Arabidopsis thaliana: one gene and its partners. The protein of the gene in region 1 interacts with the protein of each later gene in a pairwise test. Each region holds a gene or a part of one and is shown in the gene's direction. Other genes may lie near its edges. The genes, in order: AT4G02720, AT2G46250, AT5G55100 and AT5G38720.

Region 1 (4,357 bases):
GAGATCGCCGCCGTGTGACCTTCTAGGGTTTTCAGGTGACGGTATGGCTTATATATCGGAACGTTTCCGCTTGTTCCTGCGTTACCGGTGGAATTCGCGTTAGCGACTCCGTTACTTGTTCCGTTACCACCGCTTGGCATCGTCGTCTCTCGTCGGATTTAGCAGAGTGGAGATGATCTCAATGAATCTCTCACCGTTACATATATATACATTCCGTTGACCATGACCTCTTGGGAATTACATTTTTACCCTTCATTCCTCATTTCTCGTATTGGTGGTTCTTCGGCTCGGTTCGGTTCGATTTGAATTTGTCGATTTTGTTGAACTAAAATTGGTCCGGTTCGTTTGGTTTATTTAGTTCGAAGGCACTTTATTCGGTTGGTTTCAGTAATGAGGTTTCGGTATATTTGGGTTAATTTCGGTTTGTATAATCGGTTCAATTCGATTTTAATGCCCACTACATTAGAGGACTCTGAAATCAAGATTTATGTATCCAAACATCTGTGAATGAAATTGAGATAAATCCATAGATGATGGTTATATTATACACACAACAGAAGGGAAGATTTATGCAAGAAACGAATGTAATTTTGAACATTGAGAAGATCCTATGAAGGCTTGTTTTTGCCGTAAATATCTTCAAAACCATCAGCTACTCGTTTCCTTCTTTCAGCAATCATTTCTGAATACGACTGAACCAAAGTACACGAAAAAACCACCAGAATCTCAAAGACAAGACCAAAGTAAAGTCTTGTTCACTAAGATTATAGAAACTAGCATTGTCTGAAGATGTTTAAACAGGATTTTTACTTTAACTTAGACTTAGTAAATTAGAGCTACGAACATTTCTTTAGTAAGGGAATGAAAAGGAGAGGTTGTTAGATGATGGAAGGGAAAATCATACCTTTGGGTAGCTATAAAGGAATATGTACCACCAAGCACCAATTACACCAACCGCAAGCGATGAAACTATGACCGAGTGTAGTATTACCCAGCTACATGCCACTATTGATAGACCCGTTAACATTATCGTCCATGGCTGACACCTGAGAAACATAGCCAGTTGCTTATTCAAAACCATACGGAAGAACACTAGGCCCTGAAAACGTCTAAGAAGAACCGTAAAGTTCTTGATTGCAAATACACACCAGATCAATAGATATTCAAAGCTGTAGATGCTGAGGTCGAAATGTTAAACCCTTCTTAACCCAATTACCATTACATAATCTGTATTTTGGTTCTTCACTATCTTCCTAACCAAAAGATTCAAACTTTTTCTTTCTATCTTCTAAACCACAACACACAATCATGAAACTGTAATGGGGTAAGTCTTGTTTTAAGTAGCATCAATAAATATATAGCTTCATATATGATTCAAAAAAGTTCTTGGGCAGGCATAAATCACTGAAAATGCTAATAAAGATTAAGGATTGGTCCACTTAAAAGTGAACTTAAGACTCTATCTAAGCTATAATCCCATATTCACAACCAACAAATACGATTCCTCATAAGTCTTAGGACCAAATCCAAACTACTTGAAATAAAATTGTTGGGAACTTAAATGAGATTTACCAAGAGGGTTTAGTGTCCCAAACAGAGTCGTATTCGAGAGAGAGATTGTCTAAGAAACCTTCCATGTCATCAACTACGCCTTTTTCATCGACAAATCTTGAATCCTTCGGCTCTCTCCGATTCCCACCAAAACTTCTAACTTTCGTACTAATCCTTATTGGTTTGAGATTGAACGAGTGTAAGTTCGTTCGGAAACTGAGTTTTGAAAGAAGATTCTCTGTTTGAGGCCGAAACGGCGACAGAGACACGGCGGACATGGAGAGACTTGCCATCTGAAGACGACGATAAGGATAGAGGACTCGATTGACTCTAATTAAAATGTGGGGTGCTTTGTGTAAAATCAAAACATGATTTTCAGTGGTGAATAATGATAAATATTGGGCCTATTCGTTAAGGGCCCAATAAGTAAAAAGGCGCAGATACTGTATATGAATCAAAGCCCTAATTTATCAGACAGCTGCTTAGATTTTGTTTTCTTCATTGTCGTCGTCGGAGTGAATTAGGGATTCGAGAATGACGATGAACTCGCTTCCGAGGAGATTTGGGAAGAATCATGGCTATTTGGATCGAGATTATCGAAACGGAAGACGATCTGGTTCAGATTCCGATGAAGAATTGAAGGGATTGAGTCACGAAGAGTATAGGAGGCAGAAACGGCTTAAGATGAGGAAATCAGCCAAGTTCTGCTTTTGGGAGAACACACCGAGTCCACCTAGAGATCAGAACGAGGATTCCGATGAGAACGCCGACGAGATTCAGGACAAGAACGGCGGCGAAAGAGATGATAATTCGAAAGGGAAAGAAAGGAAAGGTAAATCTGACTCGGAATCTGAATCTGATGGTTTGAGATCTAGGAAGAGGAAGAGTAAGAGCTCGAGGTCTAAGCGCAGGAGAAAGAGATCTTATGACAGCGATAGTGAATCCGAAGGGAGTGAGAGTGATTCGGAAGAGGAAGATAGGAGACGAAGGAGGAAGAGTTCTTCTAAGAGGAAGAAGAGTAGAAGCAGCCGTAGTTTTAGGAAAAAGCGAAGTCATAGGAGAAAGACGAAATACAGTGACTCTGATGAGAGCAGCGATGAAGATAGTAAAGCTGAGATTAGTGCTTCTTCGTCTGGGGAGGAAGAAGATACCAAGTCAAAGAGCAAGAGGCGGAAGAAATCTTCGGATTCTAGTTCAAAACGAAGCAAGGGAGAGAAGACGAAGTCAGGGAGTGACAGCGATGGTACTGAGGAAGATTCGAAGATGCAAGTAGACGAAACGGTGAAGAACACTGAGCTAGAACTTGATGAAGAAGAGTTGAAGAAGTTCAAAGAGATGATTGAATTAAAGAAGAAATCTTCAGCTGTTGATGAAGAGGAAGAAGAAGGTGATGTTGGTCCAATGCCATTACCTAAAGCTGAAGGTCACATCAGTTATGGTGGTGCTTTAAGACCCGGTGAAGGAGACGCCATTGCACAGTATGTTCAGCAAGGTAAACGTATCCCACGTAGAGGAGAAGTGGGTCTTAACGCTGAAGAGATTCAGAAGTTTGAGGATCTTGGTTATGTGATGAGTGGAAGTAGGCATCAAAGGATGAATGCTATTCGTATTAGAAAAGAAAACCAGGTTTACAGTGCTGAAGACAAACGGGCATTGGCCATGTTTAACTACGAGGAGAAGGCGAAGCGCGAGGCTAAGGTTATGTCTGATCTGCAGCGGCTTGTGCAGCGCCATATGGGAGAAGAGGTGGGGCCAAATCATGACCCTTTCGGTGCTGGAAAGACTGAAGAAGATGATGATTGATTTTGCTTGGCTTCCTGCTTCTGTTATGTGGGTACTCATCTTATGCTTTATCTTGTTGAATGTTCCTTATTTGCATCATAGATACTGCTGTTTGCTACTTGCCCGTTAATGAGCTTCGTAGTTTATGCTTTAATCTGCTATGTATCCGTTAATGAGCTTCATAGTTTATGCGTTAATCTGCTATGTATCACATGATTGTGTTTGTGTGTCAAAGATAATAGATTCTGACACTGAGGATCTGCAACCGTTCTTGTGCATTTACCTTAGGTCATGTTCGATGATTGAATTTTGCAGGGCATTCACTTAGTTCTGAGATTGTAGAACAATCAATTATTTAGGATATCCGCTTTGAGCCCACCACTGTATTTTCGAATAATGTCCTTTAATGAGCTTCACAGATTATGCATTCCTCCCTCTGTATTCATATCATTGCGTTTGTCTGTTAAGAATCCAGTCATATCATCATCAATGTTATCATTGTCACCATTATTATCATCATTCTATTTTTAGAACTGTGAAACAAAACAAGTACTTATATATATTATTGGGGATCTCTATAATTGTGAAGTGCAATAATTTCGGAATTTGGAGGCAGATAAAATTTGCAATAATATCCGAATTTGCAGGCAGATCATATTATTGGTAAATTACCTGCAAGGGTTCCAATTATAGTTTATGATTCCACTTTTGTGGAACTATACAATGTCTGAATCTGTTCTCAATAAATGCACTATCTCAATAGAAGACCCTACCAAGTACCTAGTCCATAATCTATTATTCGTTTCATAAATAATAACATATAAATCATTCAAAGAAGCAAAATGATTTTGGTTAAGAATTGAATGACAAAGAAAACGACATCTGTTCAATTTAGAGGAGATTAGCATTTTCGTATTACTATTCAAAGCTTAAAAATAGTATTTAAAAACAAAAAAATTATCAAAGAAATGTCATGTAAAGGTCCTCTTCTCATGCACGAAACGAATGATAATTAAATTAATTT
Region 2 (4,810 bases), on another chromosome or scaffold:
CAGTGACCAACGTAGAGGAAAACAAAGCCATGGTGGTGGAAAGTTTGGAGGAGCCAATAAACGAATTGCCGCAAATGGTGGAAGAGACTGAAACAAACTCCATACGGGACCCGGAGAATGCTAGTGAAGTCTCTGAAGCCGAAACCAACTCATCAGAAAATGAAAACCGAAAAGGAGAAGATGATATTGTATTGCATTCAGAAAAAAATGTCGAGCTCTCAGAGCTACCTGTTGGAGTGATTGACGAGGAAACACAGCCTCTTTCGCAAGATCCATCGTCATCATATACTCGTGAAGGGAATATGACTGCAATGGACCCTAAAACAGCGAGCCAGGAGGAAACAGAAGTTGATCACTCACCCAACAACTCCAAAGGCATTGGCCAACAGACTTCTGAGCCACAAGATGAAAAAGAACAGTCTCCAGAGACCGAAGTCATTGTGAAAGAACAGCCTCTAGAGACAGAAGTTATTTTGAACGAACAGGCTCCGGAACCGGAAATCACTGAACCTGGGATATCAAAAGAAACCAAAAAGCTGATGGAGGAGAACCAGCGATTCAAGGAAACGATGGAGACGTTGGTTAAGGCAGGCAGAGAACAACTAGAAGTCATATCGAAATTAACCAGTCGGGTCAAAAGCCTTGAGAAGAAACTGTCACATAAGAAAAAGACACAGATCAGACGTCGTGCAAGCAAACCAATGTCCGTAAGTCCAACCGATGCCGTATTATGACCCCCATAAACATTGATATGTCTCAATTCCTCATATATTGTATCCATCTCCATCCTATTGAGTACAGAAAAGAGAACGAGAACTCAAAAATTGTCTTAACGAAAATCCAAATATTTGCCTCTCTGTTTTCTTCGACGTTCATGGATAACCTCCTTAAACGACCCATTCGCTCTGACAGATTCGACTAAATTTTGTGTCAAGGCCCAATATATAACTATATAAGGCCCATACAATGATCAACCCATTAGTTATTTCAAATGTTTTTATTATTTATTTCAAATTTTTGCTATAGGTGTAAATTTCATGTATTATTACTTTAATTACATTTAAAATTTGTATCTTTCAAATTTGTTATGGGAGAAAGAAAGAGAATGATTGTGTGGTTTGTGCGGACATAGTGATCCTTTTCATGCCATAACTCACTCTTCGTTTTCTTCTTTCTCATCGTCACGTTAGGTTGTCTCTGAGCCGCCAAATATTCATCTCTTGTGGTCCCGTTCACGTCCCAACGCCATTTACACTCATCTCCGTAACCTCTCTCTTATGTGCTTTCTCATTACAAACAACTAAAATTCTCAAAGATTAACATGTGCAAGAGAAATAACAAGTAATGATATGATCTCATTCTCACCTAATCTATGGTTGAAAAAAAGGAAATGGTGTCAGTATTAGTCATAATAAAGCCTTGGAGTTGTAGACTATAGCATGAAAGGACCAGGAATCTTCAAGCATGGTTATTTTCTGATACGAATGATTTATATTTTAATCGTTTATTAACACCCATTTAACCTCATAATGACTCTATTAGCCTACTCTCAATCCCCAAATTTACTAGCATAATTAACTAATTCAAGGGATTATCTTCACCCACTTGTGTGCATCCATCAAAAGTTAATTTCTTATCTTAGAAATACATTTCATCTAAACCAAACAAATGATATACACTCTCATTTCTATTCATTAGTGTCATTTCTACAATTGTAGCAGTATGTTAACTACTGTAACTATTGTGATCCAAATATACAGTAAAAGGTTGCACCTCTACTGTAACTATTTTAACAAGTTCGCAAAATGTACATAGGAGAAATAGGTTGATTTCCATGGAGAAAAGAAAATAGTAAAAGGTGAAAAAGGTTCACTCACACGCATCCTCTGTCTCTGAGAGATATATTTCCCCTTGCAGTAAATAAAAATCTATGGCTTTGTTGGGAAGAAGAAAAAGTCAGAGTAAACTCGTAATCTTTGTCGGGAGAGAGTAACAGGCTTTTGATGTTGTAACATTATACTACTATTGTTTTAAAAAGCAAAGAATTGTAGTAGTAAGAATTACAATCATACTTAACAACAAATCACGTTTTTCGGGTTTTTGTATAAATAAATGATAAAGCAAGATGGACAAATTTTAAGGATAAGCCATTAATAAGTGATCTGTGAATTTTTAAGGAAAAGACGAAAGAAACAGAGAGAGTCGAGACACAACTGTCTCCAAGAAGACAACCTTCCACAGCTTAAGGGAAACAGAGGTGGAAACAGAGGTGAAAACAGAGCGAGTAAAGAGATGGAGAGAGAGTGTGAAGAAGGAGAAATGGAGAAAAAGCTGAGACGAAGTTTCATGGGCTATACTAGGAGAGCTGGTCCTTCCACTCCTCCACCCACCTGGCGGCTCGAGTTTTCGCCGCCACGAGTCGGAGCGACCAAGGAGTTTTTGGCGAATTCGGAGGACTCTGTCCGGAAATTGTGTGCTGATTTGTGGGAAACTGAACAATTCCGGCAAAGAATTGAGCTGCGACGGTGTCGACGAAGGGATTCAGATGTGGAATCGCATTCCCGTAGCCCGCTTCACGATCATGTAAACAATTTTGGCGCTTTTGATTTGCTTGAATGTTTTTGACGGGTTTATGTAGGGTTTTAGTCTTCTTGTTTTGATAGGTCGTAAAGTTGTGATCTTTACGGTGAGGTTAGAGTATATTCGACCGGAAAAAATCTCATTTTTGCGCAAATTCCACCGAGAAAATCTCAAAGTATTGTTCTTTATGATGTGGTCTTTTGCTCGTCTATGCACAAATTTCATTGGACAAATCTCATGGTCGTAAAGTTGGCTCGTAAGTGTGTTTAGTATTTATATATGAGTTTTAATTTGCAGCCACCAAGCAGAGCTAGCTTGAGGAGGCAAATTGCAGCAACTGATGATTATAGAAATGGTGATCTGTTGCAACCTATCTCTCCTGCAAGTTGCAGCAGCAGCAGCAGTTCATTGCAGGTGAAGAAAACAAAGTTTTTTGCTCTTTGTTCACTCTTAAATTTAACCAAGGAATGCTTTTTAACAATCTTGTTTTGAGCTGGATTTGGTGTGTGTTGGCTTAATGTGCTTGTAGGTTGTGGTGCGTAAGCCAGCGTTTAGTCAGACAGGTTCTTCGGCGGTTAAGTCTGCAAGCTATGGTTTGGGTTCCTCTACAAAGCTTCTCAAGGTGCTAAACCGGATATGGAGTCTCGAAGAACAGAATACTGCTAATATGTCTTTGGTTAGAGCTTTAAAGATGGAGTTGGATGAATGTAGAGCCGAGATTAAGGAGGTTCAGCAACGGAAGAAGCTAAGCGATAGGCCACTGAGGAAGAAAAAAGAAGAAGAAGAGGTAAAAGATGTGTTTCGATCCATAAAGAGGGAGTTAGATGATGAGAGAAAAGTTAGAAAGGAGTCAGAGACTTTGCACCGGAAGCTAACACGAGAGCTTTGTGAAGCGAAGCATTGTTTGTCCAAAGCTTTGAAAGACCTTGAAAAGGAGACACAGGAACGTGTTGTTGTGGAAAATCTCTGCGATGAGTTTGCAAAAGCGGTGAAAGATTATGAAGATAAGGTGAGAAGAATTGGCAAAAAGTCACCGGTGAGTGATAAAGTAATTGTGCAGATTGCAGAAGTGTGGAGTGACCAGAGATTACAAATGAAGCTAGAGGAAGATGATAAAACATTTCTTCTGCGAGCTAAGGAGAAGAGTAGATCACAGTCAAGTAAAGGAAGTGGCTTGAGAGCAAAACCAGATGATTCGGTATCTATGCATCAAAGGGTTTGCCTGAAGGAACTCGAAGAAGGGCTTGAAAAGCGAACAAGAAGAGATAACAAACTGCAGCTTAAGAAGAGCTCAGGCCAAGTTCTTAATCTATCTATGTCTTCGGAAGGAGATAAGATTCATCCAGAGAGTAGTCCAAGGAACGTTGATGATCATGAGAGTCAAGAAAAGTCTAGAACTTTCTCGAAGAATCATCCGAGAAATGTGAATGTGATGATCAGGGAAGATAATCATCGTACTCTCAAGGATAAGCTGATGGAAGCTCGTGTAGAAAGTCGACGTTTACGTTCTTCTTTGAAACCAGAGTGATAATTCCGGTTCGAGCAAATAATTAACTCGTGTCTTCTCATGTATGTTGGATTAATTATTTGGTTGTGGTTAATATTAATGCTCGTTAGTCGTTAAAAAAACTAAATATTTTAATTGTCCCAGTGACAGAAACCAATTTCACATGAAAAAAGGAAAAAGCTAATTTTGTCAACAGTTCACATATATTGACATTGAACACAACTCCGGTTCGACAAAAAAAAAGAACACAACTCCGGTCAACTATTTTTGGCAGTTGTAATTAAGAACAAAAAGATGTAACTTAAAGAAGAGACAATTTAACCGATTAGTTCAAATCTTTGGTCATCAAAAATTCCACAAGTTTTAAGAAGACTGATTGGTGATTAATAAACGTTAAAAAAAAAAAAAAAGCCAAGTCAAAGATGTGTCGGTAATAGCGATTGACCAAACTCTATCTGTTTTAGAGCATCATTAATGGTAGTTTCTTAGCATAATTTTAATATAGTTTTTATGAATATTTTTATAATTGATTTTGAAAATTCTGAAGTTAAAAACTTGGTTAAGAGATTGAAATTTAGGCAATATGCAATGGTGGAATCTTAACTTGGAGTTCTTAAAAAGAAAATTTGAAAAAAAAAATAGAAACATTATAATTTTAAAAAACTTAATAGTTATTACAACTCATAAAATTTAAAACATACATGACATAAAATTTTAAACAAA
Region 3 (6,217 bases), on another chromosome or scaffold:
GAACCACTAATTTATATATTTCTAAATAAAGCAAATTGAAGCTATATACATCCTGCCTCTAATGGACACTTGCTTTAACTTGAATTCTAAAGTTCTCGATCCGCATACGCCCAATCAACCACGATTATATAATTTAATATATGAAAGGCCATTTTTACATTGTAACTTGTAACAATAGAATAATATGAAAATAATCTATATAAGTCAATAAATAAAAGTTTTTACTTTAGAAACACATGAGCAAGCTTTGTAAGGCTAAGTTCCTTCCATCGTCACTAGTCTTCTGTTCATATCAGACAATCTCTTACATAAATGATGTACAACTCCGTTCTCTTTAGTCTTTTCCATGGAGTAATTCAACTCTTTTTTTCATTCTATCTCTAATCTTCTAATATGGTACCATAGTTCCAAGTATAATTACCCGACATATGATTTCTCATAGTATACATATATAGTCAGTGGCGGATCTAGAACCATAATTAACCCGAGGCACAACATATTTATAAATTTTTAAAATAAAGTACAATATGAACATTTCTTAAAAGACATGTAAATGGAAGAAAATTTTTTGAAGTGTCAATCAACATTGGCAGTACCTTATATTAGCATAATTCCTTCAAACAGTTATAGAAAAAGATAAATAAAGTAAAAATAAGTTAAATACTGAAAACATTTATTACTTGAAAATAGTAAAATTAATGAGTAATAACCAACTGACTAGAAAAAAAGTCACTCTAACATGGGGCACAACAAACGAATTCTTTCATCTACAATACAAATTGCACAACAAACTTCAAAATTATCAAATCTTGCATGGGGCACGTGCCCCAGTACTTATACACTTGCGTCCGCCAATGTATATAGTCCGTTTTGTAGTGATATGTCCGAGACAATGAATATCTCACATTACAAATGAAAATACAAGGTATATAGATCTTTCCACTTTATTTTAAGTTACAAACAAACCCGTGATTCCTGATATAAATATGTGTAATGGAATCCGAATTATGATGTCCATTAGTACGATGATGACCATTAATTAAACTAATACAACTTGCTTTGTTAAATGTATGTTTTTGCATAAATGTGTACAATCTATATTTAGTTTTTGAAACAGTTATATAAAATTTGAATGTCCCTATAGTAGCTTACACTAATATAGCTCTATACACCAACGATCGAACTATCGAAGAAAATTCTTGAATAAACCAGTCAAAGACGTCCACAAGGCACAAATATTATATACGGTGTTGAAGAAAGCAATAGAGAGAGGTCAACGCTTTCCTCCAATTTGTTAAACAATGTATAAACTTTACGTCAAAAAAGTCAAAACCATTCCCTTGTTGCTTATTGGTCATTTTCCGACCTATACGATAATCTTATTGTTTCTCTACGATATCTTTCTGTTGCATTAACTATTAAGCCACACGCAAAGTCGTTTTACATTAACGTTAGTTTAATTAGATAACGTTAGTTTAATTAGTATTATTTCTACAGAGTAATTGCTTTCGAAACTTTTGAAAACAATGTGCCATACAGGTTGTTCAAACATGGTTAGATAGATGCATAAAATTACAAAAATTATATAGAGAGAATATTAAATCACTTAACCATTGTATCATGAGGAGATAGCTTGAAAGCCCTGACAAAGAAAGAGGGTTCATAAGTTACCTAAAAAAGAAAGAAAGAGAGCTCATAATATTTTCATCAAAGTAAAAACTCAATGTGGATAACCGTCACATCAAGACGAGGCAGATACTAGATTGAGCAAAATTCTCCAATGAAATCACAAATGTTGAAGCACTTTAAATTTGGAGATTTCACTGCTTTTTCACTCTTAGGGTGGCTTACATTTATTAAAGTTAAGGTTATGGGGAAAAAATATAAACTTTCTTAAGCAGGGTTGAAAACGCAAAAACATAAAGAATGCACGTCGTTGTTAGTTATTTTCTCCCAAATGCGTGTGGTTTTATTACTTTTCAAACGGCAAGTAAAAAAGTCTTATAAACGACGTCATTTAGTCGACTTGATCTCTTTTGTAAGTCATCACATCTTTGGGTCAATCACGAATTTGGAACATCCGGTTCCAAATTACGGATTACACAGACCCTAGCCTCTTCCCCAAATCCCAATTCTCCATTGCTTTAGAAGAATCACACAATGGATCTAGAGATTGTTGGTCGTCACGCTCTCTTTTTCGACGATGATTCGATGGCAACGTTTGTCAACTCTCCGACGGCGCTCGTTGACTGGAACAGCCTCTTTATTGACCGCTACGATGTTCGTCATCTCCTCTCTTCTCCTCCTCCTCCACGTATCAAACGCCGTCGTCCGAATTCAAACGATGCTGACTTGGAATCGGAGCTCGATCACGAGCGTTATCTAGATTTACCGTCGGAATCTCCATCTCCGTCGGATGATGATGAACACGGTAAGGATGATGAACTCCGTAGAAATCTCCGTTAATCTATATGGTAGAGAGACTCGAACTAGCTATGTTAGAGACATAAAACTGTTCTAGAGAATGATTACGAAAAATTCAGATCGAAACTTAATTTGTTTGCCCTTTGGATTTGCTTTACTCTCCAGATATGAATGAGGATTCAGCAAATACAAATGCGGATGGTTATCGTGCTGTCTCTTTTTCATATGGAAGCTCTAGTGATGTCAATGACCAGAAAAATGCTGCTGATATGGAATCTGGATTTCACCCGCCTTTCCCCGTGCCTGATTACTTACGTCAAAACCTGGTAAGTTATTGCTTTAGATTGTTCCCTTTAGCAGTATGCTAGTTTTTGCTAACTTATTTGGTACTTAAACTGATATTGGCCACGTAAACATCTGAAAGGTGCATTTGTTATTCTAAGGACTACTATGTCTAAGTTTCAGATGCTCGGAGAAGAGATGGAGTTGTCTAAGGTTGTCATTCACATGCACCTTGTTTCCTTTTGCTGCCATGACAAGGGGCAGTGCAGGTGGGATTAAGATGATAAAAATTCATGACTTACCAAGAACCTTAAAACTGATTGCACACCAGATGATGCATTTCTATACAGTTCTGAATTTTGCAATTTATGGTTCTCGATACTTATGTGAGGTTTTATTATGTATATATACCTGCGAGTTGCCAAAGGTGTCATTCATCATATTTCACATTACTAATTTTTTCTTGTATATTTTTTTTCTCTCTTCTTTCAGCCTCCAACTGAGAAATTACATCAGATTATCACTAGGACTTCAAGTTTTGTAAGCAAACACGGTGGGCAATCTGAAATTGTCTTGAGAGTCAAACAAGGAGACAACCCTACATTTGGGTTCCTAATGCCAGACCATCATCTTCACCTTTACTTTAGGTTTCTTGTTGACCATCAAGAGCTTTTGACAGGAAAGTCTTCTGTAGAAGAGAAAAAGAACGAAAGTGAGAAGGATGGTGGAGCTTTGTCATTGCTTGGTTCGGTTTATGGGACTGTAGAAGATGAAGATGCTAACGAAGAGTCTGCAAACGACTCCAAAACAAGTGAGTCCGCCAAAGGTGATGATGGTGTTAAGGTAACTGATTCCAATGGACCTGAAGGGTCGAAAGGAGCTGCAAAGATTGCCTCTAAGCATTCTCTGCCGTTGAATGATCATGCATCTTTCATAAAAAGAAATCCCTCTGTCAGCGCAGTAAATGTTGTAGAGAAGAAGCAGATCAATACAGAAAAACTTGTGACGTCTGATAAGTCGCAACCCAAGCTTGAACTGCAGATTGTGGAGCCGACTACTGAGATGAAAAGAGTGATTGATAAGATAGTAGACTTCATTCAAAAGAACGGGAAAGAACTAGAGGCTACTCTTGTTGCACAGGATGTGAAATACGGGATGTTTCCATTCTTACGTCCATCTAGCTTATACCATGCATATTATCGGAAGGTTCTCCAAGAAGCCGAAGAGGTAATTCTGTTTCAAGTTCTTAAAATGTTCCTGCTACAAATTTGGTGTGTTTTCACGTGCTTTTTAAACCTTGTGATTGTAACTTTCACTAAAATGTAAAACGTTGGTTGATTTCATATGCAGTTAAAATCAGGTGACAAAGGCGTTATTATCAGAAAAGAAGACGTGAAGCAAGAGAAGATGGGCAATGCTGTAAAAGATAGCAAACACGGGTTTGGGAGTGTTTTACCAGATGATTCTGCCAAGAAAGAGAAACTAAAAATGGTTAGTGACAAACCAAAGGTCGAGTTGCACAATGAACCATTCAAGCCTGTCCAACCGCAGATGAGGGTCAATGTGGATGCGAATACTGCTGCTGCTATTCTTCAAGCGGCTAGAAGAGGCATAAGGAATCCCCAGTTGGGGATTCTAACAGGCAAACCCATGGATGAGACTTCTCAGACCCTTGGAAATGATGTGAGTTACCCTTCATCTAAGTCCCCTGATTTGGCCAAATCTACAGGTCAATCACTCTCTGGCTCGACTGCTGCTAGTGAAGCTGATTCTTCTGAAGCAGGCTTGTCTAAAGAGCAGAAGTTGAAGGCAGAAAGATTGAAACGTGCAAAAATGTTTGTGGCCAAGTTAAAACCTGATGCGCAGCCAGTTCAACAAGCTGAACCGTCGCGAAGCATATCAGTCGAACCGTTGGACTCTGGGATTTCTGGATTAGGTGCTAAGGCTGCCAAAGAAAGAGACAGTAGCTCGATTCCATATGTAGCTGAGTCAAAACTAGCGGATGATGGTAACAGTGAAAGACGATCAAAGAGGAATTACCGTTCGAGATCACAGAGAGATGAAGATGGTAAGATGGAACAAGGAGAAGAGGAAGAGAGCAGCATGGACGAAGTTACAGAAGAAACCAAGACTGATAAGAAGCATTCATGTAGTAGAAAACGGCATAAACATAAGACACGATACTCTTCCAAGGACAGACATTCTCGGGACAAGCACAAGCATGAGAGCTCCTCAGATGATGAGTATCACAGTCGTTCGCGTCATAGACACAGACACAGCAAATCTTCAGATAGGCATGAGCTTTATGATTCTTCTGATAATGAGGGTGAGCACCGACACAGATCCAGTAAGCATAGCAAAGACGTTGATTATTCTAAGGACAAGCGTAGCCATCATCACAGATCCAGGAAGCATGAAAAGCACCGTGATTCATCTGATGATGAACATCATCACCACCGACACAGATCCAGTAGACGCAAGCACGAGGACTCTTCAGACGTTGAGCATGGTCATCGTCACAAGTCTAGTAAACGTATAAAGAAAGATGAGAAAACAGTGGAAGAGGAGACTGTTTCAAAGTCAGATCAGTCTGATCTTAAAGCATCTCCTGGAGATAACATCCCGTATCTGCAAAATGAACCATCTCAAGTTTCGGATGAGCTAAGAGCCAAAATCCGTGCCATGTTAGCTGATACCTTGTACGTTTCTTCTAACTGAACGACTCTTGAAGACTTTCTAGTTCTATTTAGGTGTCTACTAGTATTAAGTTGACAATGTCAATGATTGGGTCTGATCGATTAGCGGGTTTGTTCGGTTTTCAGGGGAGATGGTCGGTGAGCATCTGAAGCATAAAGGTCACCGATGTTGCCTACGAGAAGAAGAGTTGTAATATTAAATTTTAATGTATTTTGCAAACTATTTACGAAATTACTCTGAAAAAGACCTTTTAAAGAAACCTTTTTAATCTGTGCATTTGCAAACTATAAACCTTTTAAAGAAAAATCTGTGCTTTTGTTAATCAGTTAATCATCAGACCTTATCATAGAAATTTATTTAGTAGCCAATTTGCATTACAATATTACTAAAAGAAACTTGATTCACACTTATGAGACGTTTTTTGCATACATCATTATCATCCCCACGTAAGGTGTACGACGTACTTTAACTTCTGAAATGGTGCCGCTCATCGACGAAAGTGTTCAGCACAAATCTGGCTATTATGTAAAAAACGTCTTTTGAGATGCTTGGAAGTAAGGGTGAAGATAAGAGTGAGTTTTTTTTTTCACTTTGTTGACGTAATAAAGAAAGAAACTCTACAAAGAAGATATAAATTGTTTGTCAATGTCATAGACTGACTCATAGTGCATTTACTTGAAGTTTACCCTTATCGGTCGAACCTTACTTAGCCTCTCTTCTCGATTGAAAAGGCAATAATATTATTCAATAAAACTTCTTTTTGGGATCGAATCTATCTTTTTAGACTTTTCTATCTATGTTCTACAATTTCATT
Region 4 (4,722 bases), on another chromosome or scaffold:
CTCTAGGAGTTTTGTGATTTCGTCTTGCTTGTTCTGGTTATAGAATCCATCCACGAGCCAAGAATAGGTCGCATATCCAGGAGAGAAGCCTTTCTCTATCATAGAGAACAGTTCCTCCTTTGCATTTTCCAGTTCCAACACTTTACAAAACCCATGAATCAATGCTTTGTATGAATACATATCCAGTTTTAGCCCTGATTCAATCATCTTCTTCTTGACCTTCACTGCAGATACCATGTCTTCGATTTTGCAATATGCGTTGATCAAAGTATTGCAGGTGATATTATCAGGTTCAATCTTTTTTCCACTCATCTCAGTCAAAAGCCGGTTAGCTTCTCTTATTCTTCCATCTTCACATAACTTACGCAAAATCGAATTATATGTCACAACTCCAGGAGAAAACCCTCTTGACTCCATTACCTCACGTAACCTCAAAGCTTCATCAATATCATTCATTCTACAATATCCATCAATCAAAGTAGTATAAGTAACATGATTCGCTGTAACATCGTCTTTAATCTCCCGAAACAGTCTTGTGGCCTCTCTCATTCTACCTTCTCTACTAAACCCATGTATGAATGAATTATAAGTGACAATATTAGGAGCAACACCACTTCTCTCCATCCTATCTTGCACAGATAAAGCCTCGAAATGCATACTCTTTTTGCAGTACACAGAGATCAACGTGTTATAGGTAAAGATATCAGGAAACACACCTTTTTCTTCCATCTCACTCAACAATTTCTCAGCTTTCTCGGGATCACCAGACTTAGAACAAGCATGAACCAATACATTATACACATGAATGTTAGCAACAACACCTAACTTAACCATCTTCTTGAATATCTTCCAAACAGTATCAGTCAATCTCTGCTTCACCAGACTATTTAGTAACACAGTACAAGCTTGCAAATGAGGCTTCAATCCACAACTCCTAATCTGCTCAAACACCACAATCGAATCGTTGATCATCCCGGCTTTAGCGTAATATATCATCAACCAGCTAAAGACGTGAGATACATCTTCTGGGTCTTCAGAAACACCACCAACTAAAGATCTCAAAACCAGAGGAGATGACAAAAGCTCTCTCTGAGCCAATTTATCGAGCAGTTGGTGTGCAGTTTTGAAATGCTTGTGTTTTGTGAGAATCAAAATCATTTTCCATGATGATTGTAAACTATGTTTGCTACTTGGTAAAGAATCGGTCCAGATAAAGAAACTCCATGAAAGAGAAGGTCCACCATAACCAGAAAACAGAGAAAGCTCAGAGATTACCTGAGTGGTTATCGCTGATTTCAATAACCCAGAATCAACTTTGTGTTTCAGAATATTTTTCCAGTTTCCTTTCAATACTGTTGCACAGATGCTTTGTGCAATCAAAGCTTCTCGATTTGCTGACAACAAATTCACCATTGTTGTTCCTCAAGTGTTGTAGGAGTAACAGAGAAGAGCAACGGCGATAAAGAGAAGGCCTAAACCGGTTTGAATTTCTCCAGTAGATGAACCAGACCAGATTATTTACCAATTAACCGATAAAGGACTGAATTCAAAACCGGAAGCGAATCGATTGTTTTGGAATATCCGGGAAACGGCCCGAGAGAAAATACGTAATAAATCGAACTGAACCCAATTTTAGACCGGTTTAGTCAAGAATACGTATATGTCCTCTCGTGTTGCTGATATTAACAACTTTACCCTTGTATCTGTTTCAGTCCAAAACCTCACAAAAAGCAAAAACCCTAATTTACATGGTCGTGGCCTGACTAATCCCTAATTTTTCCGAGAGCGTCGACGCCGACAATCGCCGACAGAGTTTTTGCTTCTCACGCGATAGAAAGAAGATGAAGGAGACGAGAAAGCTGAAGAAGAGTAATCTCCCTAAAGGTAGGCCTAATTTTCTCGCGTTTATATTCTTACTTAATTGATTTATGAGGTTTCATTACAGAACCGAAAAGACCTAACTATGGTTGTTGTGTATACTAAGATTGTGTTCTTAGAGGTAACTTATTTGATTTCGAAAGTTGAGAGCTTTAATTGGAATGGCCTTGAACTTAATTACAAAGGTTAATCTTGTGAAGCAGAAGAAGTAAATTGCTTATGCAAATTATTGTTTGTCTAATTGAAGTGACGGATAAAATCAATGCAGAAGAAACTGTTGGGAAAAAAATTCAGAGGAAGAAGAATGAGAAAGTGAGCAATGTCGAATTAAGCGAGGATCCTCAGGCTGCACAGCTTCAAGGTGAAAGTTTTGGCTTTGATGGATTTAGAAGTGTTTTATAGTGTTTTAAGATGTGTTATGATGTTGAGTATAGTATCTTGTTTATTATTCCTTACCAGCTAAATCAAGTGAGAAACCCAATAGAAAGAAGATTCAGAAGGGTAAGGAAATAAAAAGCTCTCCAGCTGATGGTAAGCTGAGTGGGAAGATGAAGAAGAGAAAAGAGAAAGTAGGCAATGTTGATATAAGCGAACCGATTCTGGAAGGTGAATTCTTTTGTTTTTGGCAGATGAAATCTATTACTGAGCTGTTAGATTCTGGTATTGAGTTTAGTATCTCTGGTTCTTGTTACAGCTATTTCAACTGAGAAAGTAAAAGAAAAGAAGGGCAAAATGAACAAGACTAAGAAGAAAAGGAAGGCCGAGGAAATAACTAGATCTTCAGTCGAAGATCTGAAAAGAGAAAGTGAGTAGTTCATTACCATGTTTTGGTTGTCTTATGTTAGTTCTCTGAATCATTTGCATGAGGAACTTTAGCTAGTTTTAAGTCTTTATATAATATTTTCTTTGAGCAGAATGTGAACTTTACTGTCTATCTAACTCTGAATCTGTGGTTCTTATGAATGTTATTTATGTTTGACATGGCTGTAATGGAACTGAAATAAGAAACCGGTAGTTCAGAGCTGGTTTAATGAAGTAGATTGTTTTTTGTAGGCGAGTCTAAGGACTTCAGAACTCCATCATCTTGTTCAATAAAGTAAATTTTTTCTTGTAGGCAAGTTTAAGAAATCAAATAAGAAGAAAAAGATGGACATGACCTCTAAGAAAGAGAACAAAATTGAAGAGGAGGAAGATGTTTATCAAATTTCTTCAGGCGATGAGGATTGCACAAGGGGAATGAAAAGTATGGATGAAACAAAAATGATTACTGTTTCTTCCATTATTAGCTAGCTGCATATGATTAGATAAGCATGAACACTCTTGAAACTGTTTCTTCCTTAATTTGATAAGTCCTCTTTTAAACTGCAGAGTGGGTTAGTGATTACTATGAGGGTAGACCTGGTTTAGACGAGCTCCAAAAGAGAATCGATGACTTCATGACTGCTCATGAAGAACGCCTTGAACAGGTTCTTCTCGTCATCCTATATTTTGAAGTGTTCATGTCTATTGTCTAAGTGACTATCGTGTTTTTGTCTAATGTTGTCATGTGTGTTGAACAGGAGAAACAAGACAAAGAAGCTAAAGCTGCAGAAGGTGGATGGACTGTGGTCGTGCATCACAAAGGAAGGAAAAAGACAACAGAATCTGAAACCGGAACAGCCGTTGGATCTTTTTCTCAGGCTGCTTTGGAGGATAAGATCGCTAAAAAGAAACAGAGTGAGCCTGTCGCTCATGGTTTCTACCGTTTCCAAAGGCGAGATGCACAACGCAATGGTAAGCCCTGGCTTTTCTATATCCTCAAACGTGTTTTGTGTCAGTTTTGGCTCGGGTCGGTTTTTATATGCAGCCCTAGTCACACAAGTGGCCCTTCAATTTGTCTGCCCTGATTCTGATGAATTGATTCTTGGTTTTGTGTTTTATTGTTTGTGGACAGAACTCTTGGCGCTTCAGAGTAAGTTCGAGGAAGACAAGAAGAGGATACAACAACTTCGAGCTGCTCGTAGGTTTAAGCCTTTCTAAGGAAGAACACATTCTGCTTGAAAAAACATGAGCTTTGTGGGTTCAGACTCTGATTAAGCTCATGAGCAATATCATGAATGTGTTTTATGATCAAATTTTGTAATTGACCATTTCAGGCTGATAAACAAAAAGAAATATAATTTTTTTTCCCTTGGAACATTAGATTGAATCAAAATCCATTCAAATATATTGAATGATATAGTATATAAGATAACAAAGGAGGCACTCTAATTTAATATTTTTGTAGAGAAATGCCAATTTAAAGGTTCTGAAAATTACCAAGATCGACACAAATATACAAATTAATAACTAGATTAACACCCTAATTTTGTAGTTAACTAGAATGACACAAATCTAATAATACTAAATCAACAGTCATTTTAGCAAAAACTGATGCATTCTCTGATTGACACATCAGCTTAGTACCAATTTTTTACTCTTTCATTTTCACGAAAGATTTTGCTAATTCATTTTTTAATTAATAAAATTGGAAAAAATATCTTGTGTACTTTTTATAAAACTTTTTTTTTTATTTCTCAAAACCCTTTTCTTCTTCATCTCCACGATCTCCACGATCTCCACCTCTTCCACTTCTTCTCCTCCAAACTTCCGATGACTATTTATATCTATAAAAAAATAGTCTTCCCATCAACAGTAATCGATTGCTCTTAGAAATCAGTTAATCTTTTCTTTACTGAAGGTATCAATTTACCATCTCCATCTCCGATTTCAGTTTTTTTTTTTTTTGTTATAGCTTTCAAAGATTGTTTAATATATCATATGCAGATAACATTTCAATATAATGTGTTTACACTTTACAGTTTT

The links.
Region 2: the proteins of AT4G02720 (region 1) and AT2G46250 interact in a two-hybrid assay, tested with the Arabidopsis thaliana proteins (one study listed by BioGRID).
Region 3: the proteins of AT4G02720 (region 1) and AT5G55100 interact in a two-hybrid assay, tested with the Arabidopsis thaliana proteins (one study listed by BioGRID).
Region 4: the proteins of AT4G02720 (region 1) and AT5G38720 interact in a two-hybrid assay, tested with the Arabidopsis thaliana proteins (one study listed by BioGRID).

What each region holds. Positions count from the first base shown.
Region 1 is NC_003075.7:1,203,542-1,207,898, reverse strand, and holds AT4G02720 (Ras-induced vulval development antagonist protein), read left to right. Parts: upstream 1-2,006; 5' UTR 2,007-2,085; coding exon 2,086-3,354; 3' UTR 3,355-3,810; downstream 3,811-4,357. Other genes in the region: WDR5b (Transducin/WD40 repeat-like superfamily protein), read right to left, coding at 1-140; AT4G02725 (spindle pole body-associated protein), read right to left, coding at 609-692, 905-1,046, 1,573-1,844.
Region 2 is NC_003071.7:18,989,094-18,993,903, forward strand, and holds AT2G46250 (myosin heavy chain-like protein), read left to right. Parts: upstream 1-2,077; 5' UTR 2,078-2,292; coding exon 2,293-2,583; intron 2,584-2,663; exon of another isoform or gene 2,664-2,859; coding exon of another isoform or gene 2,860-2,877; coding exon 2,878-2,994; intron 2,995-3,109; coding exon 3,110-4,108; 3' UTR 4,109-4,278; downstream 4,279-4,810. Other genes in the region: BAG6 (BCL-2-associated athanogene 6), read left to right, coding at 1-734.
Region 3 is NC_003076.8:22,360,608-22,366,824, reverse strand, and holds AT5G55100 (SWAP (Suppressor-of-White-APricot)/surp domain-containing protein), read left to right. Parts: upstream 1-2,000; 5' UTR 2,001-2,160; coding exon 2,161-2,431; intron 2,432-2,589; coding exon 2,590-2,750; exon of another isoform or gene 2,751-3,198; coding exon 3,199-3,933; intron 3,934-4,056; coding exon 4,057-5,424; 3' UTR 5,425-5,528; coding exon of another isoform or gene 5,529-5,544; 3' UTR 5,545-5,709; downstream 5,710-6,217.
Region 4 is NC_003076.8:15,507,592-15,512,313, reverse strand, and holds AT5G38720 (ribosomal RNA-processing 7 protein), read left to right. Parts: upstream 1-1,889; 5' UTR 1,890-1,963; coding exon 1,964-2,063; intron 2,064-2,125; coding exon of another isoform or gene 2,126-2,146; coding exon 2,147-2,239; intron 2,240-2,337; coding exon 2,338-2,484; intron 2,485-2,572; coding exon 2,573-2,683; intron 2,684-2,992; coding exon 2,993-3,121; intron 3,122-3,246; coding exon 3,247-3,344; intron 3,345-3,437; coding exon 3,438-3,651; intron 3,652-3,811; coding exon 3,812-3,897; 3' UTR 3,898-4,118; downstream 4,119-4,722. Other genes in the region: AT5G38730 (Tetratricopeptide repeat (TPR)-like superfamily protein), read right to left, coding at 1-1,413.